2 linked regions of the Anolis sagrei genome follow. The protein of the gene in region 2 interacts with the protein of the main gene of each other region in a pairwise test. Links are inferred from orthologs where the notes say so. Each region holds a gene or a part of one and is shown on either strand. Other genes may lie near its edges.

The links.
Region 1: the proteins of MARCHF2 (region 2) and FURIN interact in a protein complementation assay, tested with the Homo sapiens proteins (2 studies listed by BioGRID). The link is inferred for Anolis sagrei from reciprocal best matches to the Homo sapiens genes MARCHF2 and FURIN.

The regions. Positions count from the first base shown.
Region 1 is NC_090029.1:22,580,821-22,588,941, forward strand, and holds the start of FURIN (furin), read left to right. Parts: upstream 1-4,475; 5' UTR 4,476-4,657; intron 4,658-4,708; exon of another isoform or gene 4,709-4,794; intron 4,795-6,979; exon of another isoform or gene 6,980-7,098; intron 7,099-8,121. UniProt on the Homo sapiens protein: Ubiquitous endoprotease within constitutive secretory pathways capable of cleavage at the RX(K/R)R consensus motif. Mediates processing of TGFB1, an essential step in TGF-beta-1 activation.
Region 2 is NC_090034.1:29,300,616-29,308,503, forward strand, and holds the start of MARCHF2 (E3 ubiquitin-protein ligase MARCHF2), read right to left. Parts: upstream 3,537-7,888; 5' UTR 3,432-3,536; exon of another isoform or gene 3,296-3,431; intron 2,397-3,295; exon of another isoform or gene 2,373-2,396; intron 60-2,372; 5' UTR 1-59. UniProt on the Homo sapiens protein: E3 ubiquitin-protein ligase that may mediate ubiquitination of TFRC and CD86, and promote their subsequent endocytosis and sorting to lysosomes via multivesicular bodies.

The DNA of each region.
Region 1 (8,121 bases), on a different chromosome or scaffold from region 2:
AACAGTTCACCTTTTGGATGTTGATTAGGGACACTTACTCCTATTACTAACTTTCTAAACGATAGCAGTTTTAGCCCTTTGGATGCCCTGAAAAGTTTTGCCCTGCTTTTTGCATTTTAAGCTGTGTGTGGGAGGAAGTCAGATGGCTGAGTGACCTATGGTTTAACTTTGGAAAGGCAAGAACAGTGAGAAAAGCCACGGAGGAGGAGGAGGAGTTGTGTGTGGAGGAGGGCAATGAGCCAAGTGCTTTGGCGGAGCTGGTTTTGTCAGATACGTTCTTCTTAGGTGACATTTAACATCACTGGCGGATTATGAAGTGCTCAAAGAGGCTTCCAAAGTATACTCTTACTACCATTGTACAATTAGATTGTGCAAGTATTTAAAAATAAAACATGTCATGTTCCCTACTACCTTCAACCTCTGGCCTGTGTTTGTCTTTGGAGCCTAAGGATGGTTTGAACCCACTGTGAAATAGTGGAAGGATTTGTCTTTTTGTTTTGTAATTCTACATATATTGCAATGTGCATTGGGGATGGTTTTTAATTTCGTTGTACGATGTACAATGATAATAAAGTTACTCTAATCTATATTGCAGCACACACTGACCAGGTTCTGCAGTAGGTTAGGCAAAGAGCCCACAGCACAGCCAATCTGAGACTGGATCTATACTGCTATATACAATCCAGATTATCTGCTTTGAAGTGGTTTATATGGCAGTATAAGTAAAGCTTTCCCCGACATTAAGCCATTCTAGCCATTCTGGGGGTGGTGGTGCTCATCTCCAGTTCTAAGCCGAAGAGCCGTCGTTGTCCGTAGACACCTCCAAGGTCATGCGGTTGGCATGACTGCCTAAAGCGTTGTTACCTTCCCACAGAAGCGGTACCGATTGATCTACTCATATTTGCATGCTTTCAAAGTGCTAGGTTGGCAGAAGCTGCACCTAACAGCAGGAGCTCCCCCCTCTCCTCAGATTTGAACTGTCGACCTTTCCATCAGCAAGTTCAGAAACTCGGTGGTTTAACCCGCTGCACCACTATATGCCAGTACAGACTCATATAATCCAGTTCAAAGCAGATAATCTGGATTATCCGCTTTGATAATCTGGATTATATGGCAGTGTAGAAGGGGCCACAAATTCATTACTCTGGAGCCTTGACCCCATTTAAAACCAGTGCAAAGTCCTCATTCTGCTGACTTTGCTGGCCTATATTAGGTGAGTCATGCTCAGGAAGGCTCCTGCTGTGATAACATCATGGAGGAAGACAAGTTGGGGGTTTTCTCAATGCGCAGGAACGCACTGCGACGTGGTGCAAGCCACGCAGGTTTGTGCAGGTTATTTCCAGGATGTGGTTGAGATGGTGTCCTCATTTCTTAGAAGGCGGTCTTTTTTTCTTTCTGACCCCCACATCTGCGGCATACCCAGGAATATACCAGGGAGGAGGGAGCGCTTTTGAGTGTGCAAAGGGCCTGATGCATCACCAGTTTGCAGGAAAACCTGTGTCAGCTCCACTGGCTGCCGATCCACTTCTGAACTCAATTCAAAGTGCTGGTTTTGACCTATAAAGCTCTATATGGTTCTGGCCCAGTTTACTTGTCCGAATGCATCTCCCTCTACGTCCCGCCTTGCAGTTTAAGATCATCCGGGGAGACCCTGCTCTTGCTCTCGCCAGCGTTGCAAATACGTCTGGTGGGGATGGCAGACAGGGCCTTCTCAGCTGTAGGTGCTTTGGACTTCAACTTCCATCATTCCTAACAGCCTCAGGTCCTTTCCTTTCCCCCCTCAGCCAGTGGAACTCGCTTCCCACCGAGGTAAGATCAGCTTCATTCCTCTTGTCTTTTAAGAAATTGAAGTTGTGGTTCTGGGACCAGGCTTTTGGACAGCAGGCATATCTAGCGCTTTGAATATGGAATTTGACTGGAATGGTGATACGGCGGTTAACTCCATCAACTCCACTGGACCGGCCACGTTGTCCAGATTCTCACAATTTCCACTCCCTTGACATCCACCTCTCCACAAAAGTCAACATTGATACTGAAATACAACACCACCTGAGCTCTGTGAGTGCAGCATTTTTCCAAATGAAGCAGAGATTTAATGTATTGTCGAAGGCTTTCATGGCCGGAATCACTGGGTTGTTGTAGGGTTTTTTGGGCTATATGGCCATGGTCTAGAGGCATTCTCTCCTGACATTTCGCCTGCATCTATGGCAAGCATCCTCAGAGGTAGTAAGGTTGTTTGAGCACCGGGACATCCGTAGGGAGACCAAAGTTTATAAAGCTATTGTCCTCCCAACCCTGCTATACGCCTGTGAAACGTGGACTGTCTACAGATGTCACATGCAACTCCTGGAACGATTCCATCAGCGCTGCCTCCAGAAAATCCTGCAAACCTCTTGGGAAGACAAGCGGACAAACGTCAGTGTGCTGGAAGAAGCAAAGACCACCAGCATTGAAGCGACGCTCCTTCGCCATCAACTCCACTGGACCGACCACGTTGTCCGGATGCCTGACCACCTTCTCCCAAAGCAGTTGCTCTACTCCGAACTCAAGAACGGAAAATGGAATGTTTGTGGGCAGGAAAAGAAATTTAAAGATGGGCTCAAAGCCAACCTTAAAAACTTTGGCATAGACACTGAGAACTGGGAAGCCCTGTCTCTTGAGCGCTCCTGCTGGAGGTCAGCTGTGACCAGCAGTGCTGTAGAATTTGAAGATGGAGGGCGAAAGAGGGCGAAAGAGAGAAACATGCCAAGAGGAAGGCATGTCAAGCCAACCCCGTCCGAGACCGCCTTCCACCTGGAAACCAATGCCCTCACTGCGGGAGAAGCTGCAGATCAAGAATAGGGCTCCACAGTCACCTATGAACCCACCGCCAGGACACTACACTTGGAGGACCATCATCCTCGGACTACGAGGGATCGCCTAAGAAGAAGAAGAAGACGGCGGTTAATACTGTTACTATTGTTTTAATTAATGATCTATTTATTGTTTTATTTGTTGTTATATTGGGTTGTTGTAGGTTTTTCCAGGCTATATGGCCATGTTCTGGAGGCAATTTTTCTCCTGACGTTTAGCCTGCATCTATGGCAAGCATCCTCAGAGGTAGTGAGGTCTGTTGGAAGTAGGAAAAATGGGTTTATATACCTGTGGAATGACCAGGGTAATGTTTTAGCTGATGTTTAGCTAATGTTATATTGTTTTGTTATATTTCACGGCATCAAATCGTGCCAAGTGTAAGCTGTCCTGAGTCCCCCTTCGGGGGTTGAGAACAACGGTGTAGAAATACTGGAAATAATAAATAAAACCCCCGAAGAGAGGAAGGCCTTCTTGCCTGTGGAACCACCCTCCACTATTTTTTATTTATCGTGTCATCATCAACCATACCATTATATTACAATTCTAACAGAGCAAAACAAACACACAGATTAAAAAGAAAAAGAAAAAAACCCCACAGATTTTGCAATTTTGGTAGTTGGTTAAATGTCCTTTGACCAGTATCTGGCCACTTGGAGTGCCTCTGGGGTTGCCGCAAGAAGGTCTTCCATTGTGCATGTTGCAGGGCTCAGGGTGCATTGCAGCAGGTGGTCAGTGGTTTGTTCTTCTCCACACTCGCATGCCGAGGATTCCACCCTGTAGTCCCATTTCTTGAGATTGGCTCTGCATCTCGTGGTGCCAGAGCGCAGTCTGTTCAGTGCTTTCCAAGTCGCCCAGTCTTCTGTGTGCCCAGGGGAGAGTCTCTCATCTGGTATCACCCATGGATTGAGGTACTGGGTTTGGACCTGCCACCTTTGGACTCTCGCTTGCTGGGGTGTTCCAGTGATTGTCTCTGTAGATCTAAGAAAATTATGTCTTGATTTAAGTCGTTGACGTGCTGGCTGATACCTAAACAGGGGATGAGCTGGAGATGTCTCTGCCTTGGTCCTTTCACTATTGGCTGCTACTTCCTGGCGGATGTCAGGTGGTGCAATACCGGCTAAGCAGTGTAAATTACACCACCCTCCACTGGAAGCTTTCAACCCTCCTTAAAGGTGCCAGTTTCAAGGGGCAGGTCTTGCTGCAGGACAGGAAGTCCCTCTTTGCCCCTAACCCACCTTGGAATGGCCTTTGCAAGACCCCCTTGACCCTGAGACTTGATATGAGGCTAGAATAGGCCTGAACCAACTTGAGCCCTCCTTCCAGGTGCTTTGGACTTCAACTCCCATCGTTCCTAACAGCCTCAGGCCCTTTCCTTTTCCCCCTCAGCCGCTTAAGCGGCTGAGTGGGAAAAGGAAGGGGCCTGAGGCTGTTAGGAATGATGGGAGTTGAAGTCCAAAGCACCTAGAGGGAGGGCCCGAGTTGGCTCAGGCCTGGTCTACACTGTCTATACAGGAGCAGCTGTGGGAAGGGGCGGGACTTCCTTCAAGAGACCCTGCCTGGAATCAGGAGCCGGAAGCCCCGCCCCTCGTGACGTCATCCGGGGGCGCCTCCGTCCACTCCTGGCAGGGCATCCCGATGATGATGACGACGATGACGCTGATCCGCCGCCGCCGCCCATAAAGGGCCCGCGGGTCGGCGGAGCAGGCACCCGCCGCAGGGAGGAGGCTGAGGCAGGGAAGGCGGAGGCAGCGGGGAAGGGAGCAGCAGCAGGAGCAGTGGGGCGCCCAATCCCGGAAGGCGGAAGGTGAGGGTCGCCAGGAAGGCCTTCTTCTTCCTCCTCAGGCAGGCCTTTTCCTGGAAAACACCCGGAAGGAAGACAGGAAGGCTTCCTCTCCTCTCAAAGCAGGCCTGAGGCTGGGCCTGGATTCTACGGAGCACAAAGTTATTATTATTATTATTATTATTATTATTATTATTAGAAACACAACAAGATGAGTCCACAGCAGACACTCTGCTGCCTGTTGTATTGGATATTATTATTGTTATTATTATTATTATTATTGGGCCGCAGTCGGAACCTGGCTGAAAGAGAGAAGAGGAGGCTCCTTATTATTATTATTATTAATTAGTAATTACTATCATTATTATTGGGCCGCAGTCGGAGCCTGGCTGAGAAAGAGGAGGGGGATTATTATTATTATTAGTAGTAATTGCTATTATTATTATTGGGTTGTAATCAGAGCCTGGCTGAGAGAAAGGAGGGAGCTCGTTGTTGTTGTTGTTGTTATTATTAATTATGACTATTATTTCACTGTAGTCAGAGCCTGCCTGAGAAACAGAGGAGGGGGCTCCTTATTCATTATTATTATTATTATTATTATTGTACTGTAGTTGGAGCCTGGCTGAGAGAGAGAAGAGGAGGCTACTTATTATTAGTAGTATTAGTAATTGCTATTATTATTATTGGGCCGTAGTCAGAGCCTCACTGAGATAAAGGAGGAGGCTCCTTGTTGTTATTATTATTAACTATTACTATTATTTCACTTCAGTCAGAGCCTGGTTGAGAAACAGAGGAGGAAGCTCCTTATTCTTTATTATTATTATTATTGCACTGCAGTTAGATCCTGGTTGATAGAGAAGGGAGATCCTTTTTTTAAATAATAATAATTACTATTATTATTGCATCGCAGTCAGAGCCTAGCTAAGAGAGAGAGGAGGGGGCTCATTATTTATTTATTTATTACTATTATTATTACATTGCAGTCAGAGCCTAGCTGAGAGAGAGAGGAGGGGGCTCCTTATTATTATTTATTAATTACTATTATTATTGCATCACAGTCAGAGCCTAAGAGAGAGAGAGAGAAGTGGGCTCCTTATTATTATTATTATTATTATTATTTACTATTATTATTGCATCGCAGTCAGAGCCTAGCTGAGAGAGAGAGGAGGGGGCTCCTTATTATTATTATTATTATTATTTATTAATTACTATTCTTATTGCATCGCAGTCAGAGCCTAGCTGAGAGAGAGAGGAGTGGGCTCCTTATTATTATTATTATTATTTATTACTATTCTTATTGCATCACAGTCAGAGCCTAGCTGAGAGAGAGAAAAGGGGGATCCTTATTATTATTATTATTATTATTATTTATTACTATTATTATTGCATTGCAGTCAGAGCCTAGCTGAGAGAGAGAGAGGAGGGGGCTCATTATTGCTATTAATTATTATGGTGCTGCAGTCAGAGCCTGGCTGAGAGAGGAGGGGACTTGTTGTTGTTGTTATTGTTGTTGTTGTTACTATTATTATTAATTACTTTCATTATTGTGCTGAATTTGGAGTCTGTCTGAGAGAGAGGAGGGGCTTATTAATTATTATTACTGATTACTATTATTATTGCACCACAGTTGGAGCTTGACTGAGAGAGGAGGGGGCTATTTGTTATTATTATTTATTATTATTATTAATTATTATTATTATTATTATTATTATTATTATTGGGCTCCAGTTGGAACTTGGCTGTGAGAGAGGAGAGGGCTCATTTTTATTAATTATTATTAATTACTATAATTACTATTATTATTTCACCGCCGCCAAAACCTGGCTGAGAGAGAAAGGAGAGGGCTTATTATTATTATTATTGATTACTATTATTATTGTGCCACAGTTGGAGCCTGAGAGAGAGAGGAGTGGGCTTGTTATTGACATTAATTATTATTATTGCACTTGGGTTGAAGCCTGGCTGAGAGAGGTGGGAGGGGGGCTCCAGCCTCAATGAGCCCCCTCCCCGCCCCTTGTTCTGCCAGGAGAAAGGCAGGAGGCAGGAAGGGACTATGGGTGCTGCAGGGTCAGTGGAGGGGAGACCAAAGAGGAGGGGCTCCTGTCTCTTGACCTTTCCTGATTCCCCCCTTCCCAGGCTCTTTTTTTTTTTCACCACCAAGAAGGATGATGCAAAAGTGGATATGCAAATATTTGTTGACATCCCACAGGCAGACAGTCTGTGCCCTCTTTCCATGGAAGTTCCCAGAGTGCTTCAGGGCTGTGCAAATAAAGGGAGGCAAATGTCCCCTTGTGTGTCCTTGTGTGGCTGCCGTGAAAGGGGGGGGGGGAGGGGGGGCCAGTGGAGCTTTCACTCTCCCAGAGTAGGGCTACCTTTCTGCTGCCTTGAAGTCTAGGACTTAGAACAGTGGGTTCAAATGGCAAGAAAGAAGATTCCATCCGAATTTTAGGAAGAACTTCCTGACTGTAAGAAAAGATGTTCAACTGTGGAACTTTCTTGCCCCAGAGTCTGGTAGAAGCTCCTTCTTTGGAGGTTTTGGAACACAGGCTGGATGGCCATCTGTCAGGGGTGCTTTGATTGTGCTTTTCTTGCATGAAGGCAGAAGGGGGTTGGACTGGATGCCTTTGGGGGTCCCTTTTGAGACTGAGACTAGAGCGACATTGGTGAAGAAATTGAAGTGAATCTCACAAAGCATGGGCTAGAGCAGTGGTTCTCAACCTGCGGTCCCCAGATGTTTTTGGCCTTCAACTCCCAGAAATCCTAACAGCTGGAAAACTGGCCGGGATTTCTGGGAGTTGTAGGCCAAAACACCTGGGGACCCACAGGTTGAGAACCACTGCCGCTAAAGCATATTTGAAAGCCTACTCTACGGCAATGGAGGCAGCAGAGAAATCATTCTTTGCTGCCATCATTGCATCTGTAAGTAACTGTCCAGCTGAGCTGTTTCGAGTGGTTGGGGGCTATTACATACTGGTCATTAAGAAGAAATCCCTAACCATTCATCAGCCCACTGAGAAGAATTTGCAAGCCTCTTTGCAGATAAAGTCACTCAGATTTGTTCTGACTTGGATTCTGTTATTGATACAGTTCCAATGGATGTAAATCTGGCTCTTGCTTGTCCAGTGTTGCTGGATACCTTTCAATTTGTGCAGCCTGGGGATGTGGACAGCATCCTTGGAAAGGGGAGAGCTACCACATGTATTCTAGATCCTTGCCCTTCCTGGTTGATCAAACGGGACAGAGGGAGTTTGGCTGAGTGGGTAAAGGTGGTGGTTAATGCCTCCTTGGAACAAGACAAAGTTCCAACTTGCCTAAATGAGGCAGTTGTAAAACCCATATTTAAAAAAAATCCTGAACTCCTCTATAATGAACAACTATCAGCCAGTGTCCAACCTTCCCTCTCTGAGCAAGGTTTTGGAGCTTGTGGTGGCCTCCCAATTCCAGGGATTTCTGGATGAGATGGATCATCTAGATTAGTGGTTCTCAAC
Region 2 (7,888 bases):
GGCATCAGCGGGCAGAGGGCCAGAGAAGCATCATCATCACCATCATCATCATCACTGGCCTGAAAGGAGAGAGACACAGAGAGAGAGAGATTGAGAGAGAATCCAGTTATGGGCAAAGCAGTTCAAAGGGGGATCATCATCATCTAATGAGATAATAATAAATCTTGAGAACAAAATACATCATATCATATAATCATCATATAACAACAATAATATAAAATGATAAGATAATATAATATTGCAAAAAAATATAATGGAAAATGGGAATAATAACAATGTGAGCTCAAAGCAGTTCAAGAGGGGTCATTATCACCATCATCATATTATTATTATATGTACATAATGATATAATATATAATACTAGCTGTACCCGGCCACTCATTGGTGTGGCCCTCAGAAAACAGGATTTGCAGACATGAAACAATCTGGGCTAGGGAACTCCTCCCACCAAAGGTAGAAGCCAGGCTTTTAAGTTGCAAGGTTATTCAAAGGTAATCCAGGTGGGCAACTGCAGCATTCACACTTGGCTCAAGTAGAAATAATTTCTTTTTCCCACCCTGAACATTTTACATATCTATAAATAGAAGCCTCTCACAGAATGGGAAAACATCTGTTTGATGCATGGGGAACATCCTTGGAGATGGCGTATTGTCTCACTCCAGAAGCGAATTGTATTCTCTCTAGGTTTGGGAGATAGGAGGTCCCCATAAATGGACAGTATATTTTTATTTTTATAGAATGTCTTTAGCAGTGGTTCTAAACTTTTTTAATGCCATGACCCCGTAATACAATACCTCATGTTGTGGTAACCCCCAACCATAATACTATTTTCGTTGCTACTTCCTAACTGTAATTTTGCTACTGTTCTGAATAGTAATGTAAATATCTGATATGCAAGATGTATTTCTGTTGTTATAAATTGAACATAATTAAAGCATACTAATTAATGACAAAAACAATATCTTTGGGGGAGTATGAACAACAGATGGTGGGATTTTGAGTACCTTCAACTGATTCAGCTCTGATTTCCACAGACCACTGAGACCCCCATGAATGAGAGATCTGAACCACATTTGGCACACAGAACCTCCATGACCAGCAGAAAATACTGGAGGGGTTTGGGAGGAATTCACAGTAATAGGATCCTAGTGTTGCAGTAGACCTCCAAGGGCCATCCAGTCCAGCCTCCCTCTGCCATAAGGGAAAAACACAATCCAAGCACTCCTCTAACAGATGGCCATGGAGACTCTGCTTAAGAATAATAATAATAATAATAATAATAATAGAATCCTGGGGTTGGAGCCCCCGGTGGCTCAGTGGGTTAAAGCACTGAGCTGCTGAGCTTGTTGATCGAAAGGTCGCAGGTTCGATTCCGGGGAGCGGCGTGAGCTTCCACTGTCAGCCCTAGGTTCTGCCAACCTAGCAGTTCGAAAACATGCAAATGTGAGTAGATCAATAGGTACCGCTCCGGCGGGAAGGTAACGGCGCTCCATGCAGTCATGCCGGCCACATGAGCTTGGAGGTGTCTACGGACAACGCTGGCTCTTCGGCTTAGAAATGGAGATGAGCACCACACCCCAGAGTCAGACATGACTGGACTTAATGTCAGGGGACTACCTTTACCTTTACCTTAGGGTAGGGAGACCTCCAAGGGCCATCCAGTCCAGCCTCCCTCTGCCATAAGCGAAAAACACAATCCAAGCACTCCTCTAACAGATGGCCATGGAGACTCTGCTTAAAATGATGATGATAATAATAATAATAATAATAATAGAATCCTAGGGTAGGGAGACCTCCCTCTGCATAAGGGAAAAACACAATCAAAACACCCTTGATAGATGGCCATTTAGACTCTCCTTAATAATGATAATCATAATAATAGAATCTTGGGGTAATCTGGTGGTATGGAAAATAAAGCAATGAGAAGCTGCCAGGGTTTGAAGCTGCACGTGATATTCATGCTGGCCAAAACACTCCAAAAAGCCTCTTGGAAACAGAGGCTGGGTGGCCATCTGTCAGGGGTGCTTTGAATGTGATTTTCCTGCCTTTTGACTGAATGGGGCTGGCCTGGATAGCCCACCTGATTCTATATTCTTCTCTTCCCTTCACCAGTTTCCCCCTTTCTTTCTTTGTTCCTTCCGTTCCTCTTCCATCCCTGCCTCCTTCCCTCCCTTCCTCTGGTTTTCCTTCTTTTCCTTCCATTCATATTCTTCTCTTCTTCCCTCCTTTCCATTTCTTTCCTTTCCTTCCTTCATCCTTTCCTTTCCTTTTTCCTTCCCATCATATTCTTCTGTCCCCTTCACCAGTCTCCCCCTTTCTTTCTTTCTTCCTTTTTCTCTCCTTTCTCTTCCTTCCTCTCACTTTCCTTCTACCTTTCCTTCCATTCATATTCTTCTCTTCTCTTCACCAATCCTTTTCTTCCTTTCTTCTTTCCCTTTCTTCCTTCTGGGGCAGTTTGTAAGGGGTTTTTTTTGGGGGGGGGAGTAAAAGGGGGATGTGGAGCCCAGGTGGGGGCGTTGCTGGTCTTCCCATGGTTCGCATACTCCCATCACCCAACTGGTCCCGGAGGGGGGGGGGGCAGCCGCTCCTGCAGCCAGGCTTGCCTTGCAGTCCTCCGGTCTTGGGAGGAGAGTTGCCTGGTAGCCACTTAGCTGCTGCTGCCGGGGCTTGCCTCCACACCCTCCGTCAGGCCAGGCCCTCTCTCTCCTTCCTTCCTTCCTTCCTTCCTTCCCTCCCTCCCTCCCTCCCTCTTTCCTTTCCTCAATCCCTCCCCTCCCCAAAAGAAAGAGGGCTCTGCCTTCGTGCATGGAAAGGGACTCCACGGCGAGGCTTCTCTTCCCTCACAACAGTTGGTGCATCATTCTCCTCGCGCGCTGGGGAGGGGGGCTTTTGCGCATGTTCTGTAAGGTATTTTTCTTTTGGGGGAGTTTAAAGTTATTTCCCCTTCATTTTCCAAGTTTTTTTATTGAAAGACGTAGATTGGATTAGTATATGATTTGCTGCCAAATTTGGTGTCAATTCGTCCAGTGGTTTTAGAGTTATGTTAATCCCACAAACGAACATTACATTTATATATATATGTATGTATGAATGTGTGTATATATATATATATATAGAGAGAGAGAGAGAGAGAGAGAGAAGATACACGTAATAATGGTTCACGAAGGCCTTGGGGAAGGTCTCCTTCTCTTCCTGAAGCCCCGCCCCCTCTTCCTGAAGGCCCTGTCATTCAAACTTCAAGCCCCGCCCCCTGTGGTCCCTGCGCCCTGCCCCTTCCACCGCAGCCCCGCCTTGCCTGCCCTCCTCCTTCCTTCCTCCTCCGCCTTAGCGTCGAGGCCCGTTCCGCCGCATCCCTCCGCCGGGCTCGAAAGAAGAAGTAGCAAGCCTCCTCCGCCGCCACCGCGGCCGCTTCTGTCAGCAAACGTCCTCACCTGACTGGCAGAGCAGGCCCTTCCCCCTTCCCATCGCCTCGCCCAATCACATCCCACGACAGAGTGGCTGGCAATGGCGTGAGCCAATGATCTGCTCCCAAAAAAGAGAAGCACCGCCTCTTTTTTTCTGAGAGAACTGAGTTTCTGCGCATGCGCAGTATCGGAGAGCCGAAACAACCGCCGTCGTCGCCATGTACCAGCCAATCAGAAGCTTCTGACCGAAAAGGGGGGGGAAAAGAGTCGCGACGGGGTGTGGCCAAACGGAAAGCCCCGCCCCTTTGCTGTCGCTCCGTATGATTTTCAGTGGCATATAAATAATAAATAAAATATACGTCATATAGTAATATAAATAATAAATATAATGTAAATAATAATTATAGCATAATAACGATAATAATTTAATCAAATGTAAATAATAAAACGTAAACAATGTAAATGATAAAATATAAATTAAATATAAATTATGTTAATCATAAATCAAATGTAAATGTAATATTAATGTAATAAATTATTGTTTACATCTTTATATATTATTTACATTTCATTTATTATGATAAATAAAATGTAAAGATAATAATATAAAAATAAATAAGGATGTAAGAATGTGAATTATTTTATTATTTGCCTTCTTATTTATATTTACATTTAATTTGTGATTATGATAAATCATATGTAGATGTATTATATCTTGTATGATTTTATATTTATTATTACTACTTTTATATATATATATCTACTATAATTTTATTATATATTATTATATTTAATATAAGTATCGATTATTATATCAATTATACAGGCTAATCCGATCCTCGATGGCCATCAAGATCGCTCCCAAGCGCAGACTCCAAGGCAGAAAGACAAGGCGCAAAATGAACACCCAAGCCCTTCAGGAGCCCTCCAGACGAGCCCATCTCCAAACAGCACTCAAGAACCATCTACCCACAGAACACCCCGAAAATGTTGAGGAACATTGGAACAAACTGAAGACCTCCATCATCCAAGCCTGCGAAGAAACTATTGGATACCAAGCCAAGAAACATCAAGACTGGTTTGATGAAAATGACATCGAGATCCAACAGCTAATTGACAAGAAAAGGAAAGCCTTCCAAACATGGCAGAGAAACATCAACTGTGCTGCTAAGAAAAAGATCTACGCTAGTGCAAAAGCCGAGGTCCAAAGAAGGACAAGAGAACTCAAGAACATCTGGTGGACAAAGAAGGCTGAAGAAATCCAACACCTGGCAGATACCCATAATGCTCAAGGATTTTTCAAAGCCACAAAGGTCATCTACGGACCAAGAAACCATGGCATACAGCCTCTACGCTCATCAGATGGAACCAAACTCCTGAAGGACCAAAACTCAATTGCACTACGTTGGAAAGAACACTACCAAAGCCTCCTGAACCGCAGCTCCAATGTGGCCGAAGAGGTCCTCTCACAAATCCCGCAACAACAAACCAGGGATGAGCTTGCAGCACCGCCTAGTTTGGAAGAAGTCAGCAATGCCATCAGCCAGCAGAAGAATAACAAAGCCAGCGGACCGGATGGGATCCCTGCTGAAATCTTCAAAGAGGGAGGACCTGAGCTGACACACCAACTCCACCAGCTCATAGAAAAAGTGTGGGTGACCGAGAAAATCCCAGCAGACTTCAAGGATGCCACCATCATCACCCTCTTCAAAAAAGGGGAAAGAACAGACTGCGGAAACTATCGAGGTATCTCCCTTCTAACCTCCGCTGGGAAAATCCTCGCAAGAATCCTTGCAAACCGCCTCCTGCCCCTCTCAGAAGACACCCTCCCAGAATCCCAGAACGGCTTCCGCCCCTCCAGAGGAACCGTGGACATGATCTTCACTGCACGACAGCTCCAAGAAAAATGCAGGGAACAAAACCAACCTCTGTACATGGCATTCATCGACCTTGCCAAGGCATTCGACACAGTGAATCGCAGCGCTCTCTGGACCATCCTCCACAAAATCGGATGCCCTAACAAATTTGTGAACATCCTGCGGCTCCTCCACGATGACATGATGGCAACAGTCTTGGACAGCAATGGCTCCCAAAGTGACCCATTTAAGGTGGAATCGGGTGTCAAACAGGGATGTGTTATTGCCCCAACTCTATTCTCCATCTTCATCGCAATGATACTTCACCTTGTTGATGGGAAGCTTCCCACCGGAGTGGAAATCATCTATCGGACAGATGGCAAGCTGTTTAACCTCAGCAGACTGAAAGCCAAAACCAAAGTTACAACAACATCTGTTATAGAACTCCAGTATGCTGATGACAATGTCGTCTGTGCGCATACAGAAGAAGATCTACAAGCCACTCTAAACACCTTCGCAGAAGCATACACGAAGCTTGGCCTGTCACTGAACATTGAGAAAACCAAGGTGCTCTTCCAGCAGTCACCAGCCAACTCCTCCCCAATGCCAGAGATACAGCTTAATGGTGTAACATTAGAAAATGTTGACCATTTCCGCTACCTTGGCAGCCACCTCTCCACCAAAGTCAACATCGACGCTGAAATACAACACCGCCTGAGCTCCGCAAGTGCAGCATTTTCCCGAATGAAGCAGAGAGTGTTTGAGGACCGGGACATCCGTAGGGAGACCAAGGTGCTTGTCTATAAAGCTATTGTCCTCCCAACCCTGCTATACGCCTGTGAGACGTGGACTGTCTACAGACGTCACATGCAACTCCTGGAACGATTCCATCAGCGCTGCCTCCGGAAAATCCTGCAAATCTCCTGGGAAGACAAGCGGACAAACGTCAGTGTGCTGGAAGAAGCAAAGACCACCAGCATTGAAGCGATGGTCCTCCAACATCAACTCCGCTGGGCTGGCCACGTTGTCCGGATGCCTGACCACCGTCTCCCAAAGCAGTTGCTCTATTCCGAACTTATCAACGGAAAACGGAATGTCGGTGGACAGGAAAAGAGATTTAAAGATGGGCTCAAAGCCAACCTTAAAAACTCTGGCATAGACACTGAGAACTGGGAAGCCCTGGCCCTTGAGCGCTCCAGCTGGAGGTCGGCTGTGACCAGCAGTGCTGCAGAATTCGAGGAGGCACGAGTGGAGGGTGAAAGAGAGAAACGTGCCAGGAGGAAGGCGCGTCAAGCCAACCCCGACCGGGACCGCCTTCCACCTGGAAACCAATGCCCTCACTGCGGAAGAAGGTGCAGAGCAAGAATAGGGCTCCACAGCCACTTACGGACCCACAAGAACATTGGAGGACCATCATACTCGGAAAACGAGGGATCGCCTAAGTAAGTAAGTAAGTAATTATTATATTTATTGTATATCTCTAATATATCTAATTATTAATATTATAGTAGATATAAGATATAATATAATAATAGTAATAATAATAATATGCTGTGGGACTTTCAAATCCAGACTAACAAAGTTTTGGAACACAATACACAAGACATCACGATTGTGGAAAAGAAAAAAGTCTGGATTATTGATGTCGCCATACCAGGTGACAGCCGCATTGAGGAAAAACAACAGGAAAAACTCAGCCGTTATCACGAACTCAAAATCGAACTGCAAAGGCTCTGGCATAAACCAGTATAGGTGGTCCCAGTGGTCATCGGCACACTGGGTACCATGCCAAAAGATCTCAGCCGGCATTTGGAAACAATAAACATTGACAAAATCACAATCTGTCACCTGCAAAAGGCCACCCTACTTGGATCTGCGGACATCTTTCAAAAATACATCACACAGTCCTAGACACTTGGGAAGTGTTCGACTTGTGATTTTGTGATACAAAATCCAGCATATAGATCTTGTTTGCTGTGACATACTGTGTTTTAGTGCAAATAATATATTTATTATTAATAATATTATAGTAGATAGATATAATAGATATATGAATAAAAATATAGAAATAGTAATAATAATATAGATATTATTACACATCTACAATTTATCTATCATTGTAATCAAAAATAAAATGTAAATCTAAATATATACATAGAAAAATGGGGGGGGGGGGTTGCACTGAGGCTTGCCTTCCTTTCCAAATTCGGCGGTACATCCATCCCTCCATCCATCCATCAATCATTTCCAACCAATTTAGTTGCATTTGTCAATCTGCTTTGCTAGAAAGGCAACAGCGACACAACCTTTTTTTAAGTTTGGCAATCTTTATATATATATATAATATTTATATATATTCACAATACATCGTCGTCGTCGTCAGAAGAAGAACCATGCACTAGAACCAAAGTGAGTATTTACAAGGGGAAATTGCACTTTCAACAGAAGCCAAATGGAGAGTACAATCTTATCCAAAGTAAAATCCAAAGCGAAGGGAGAGATGATAGAAAGCACTGCAGGAAATGGGAAGGGGGCACTACAGGGAAGGCGTTAAAATAATAATAATAATCATCATCTAAGCAAGCTACAATTACGCTCAAAGTGTTACCGAAAGAAAACGAGGATTTA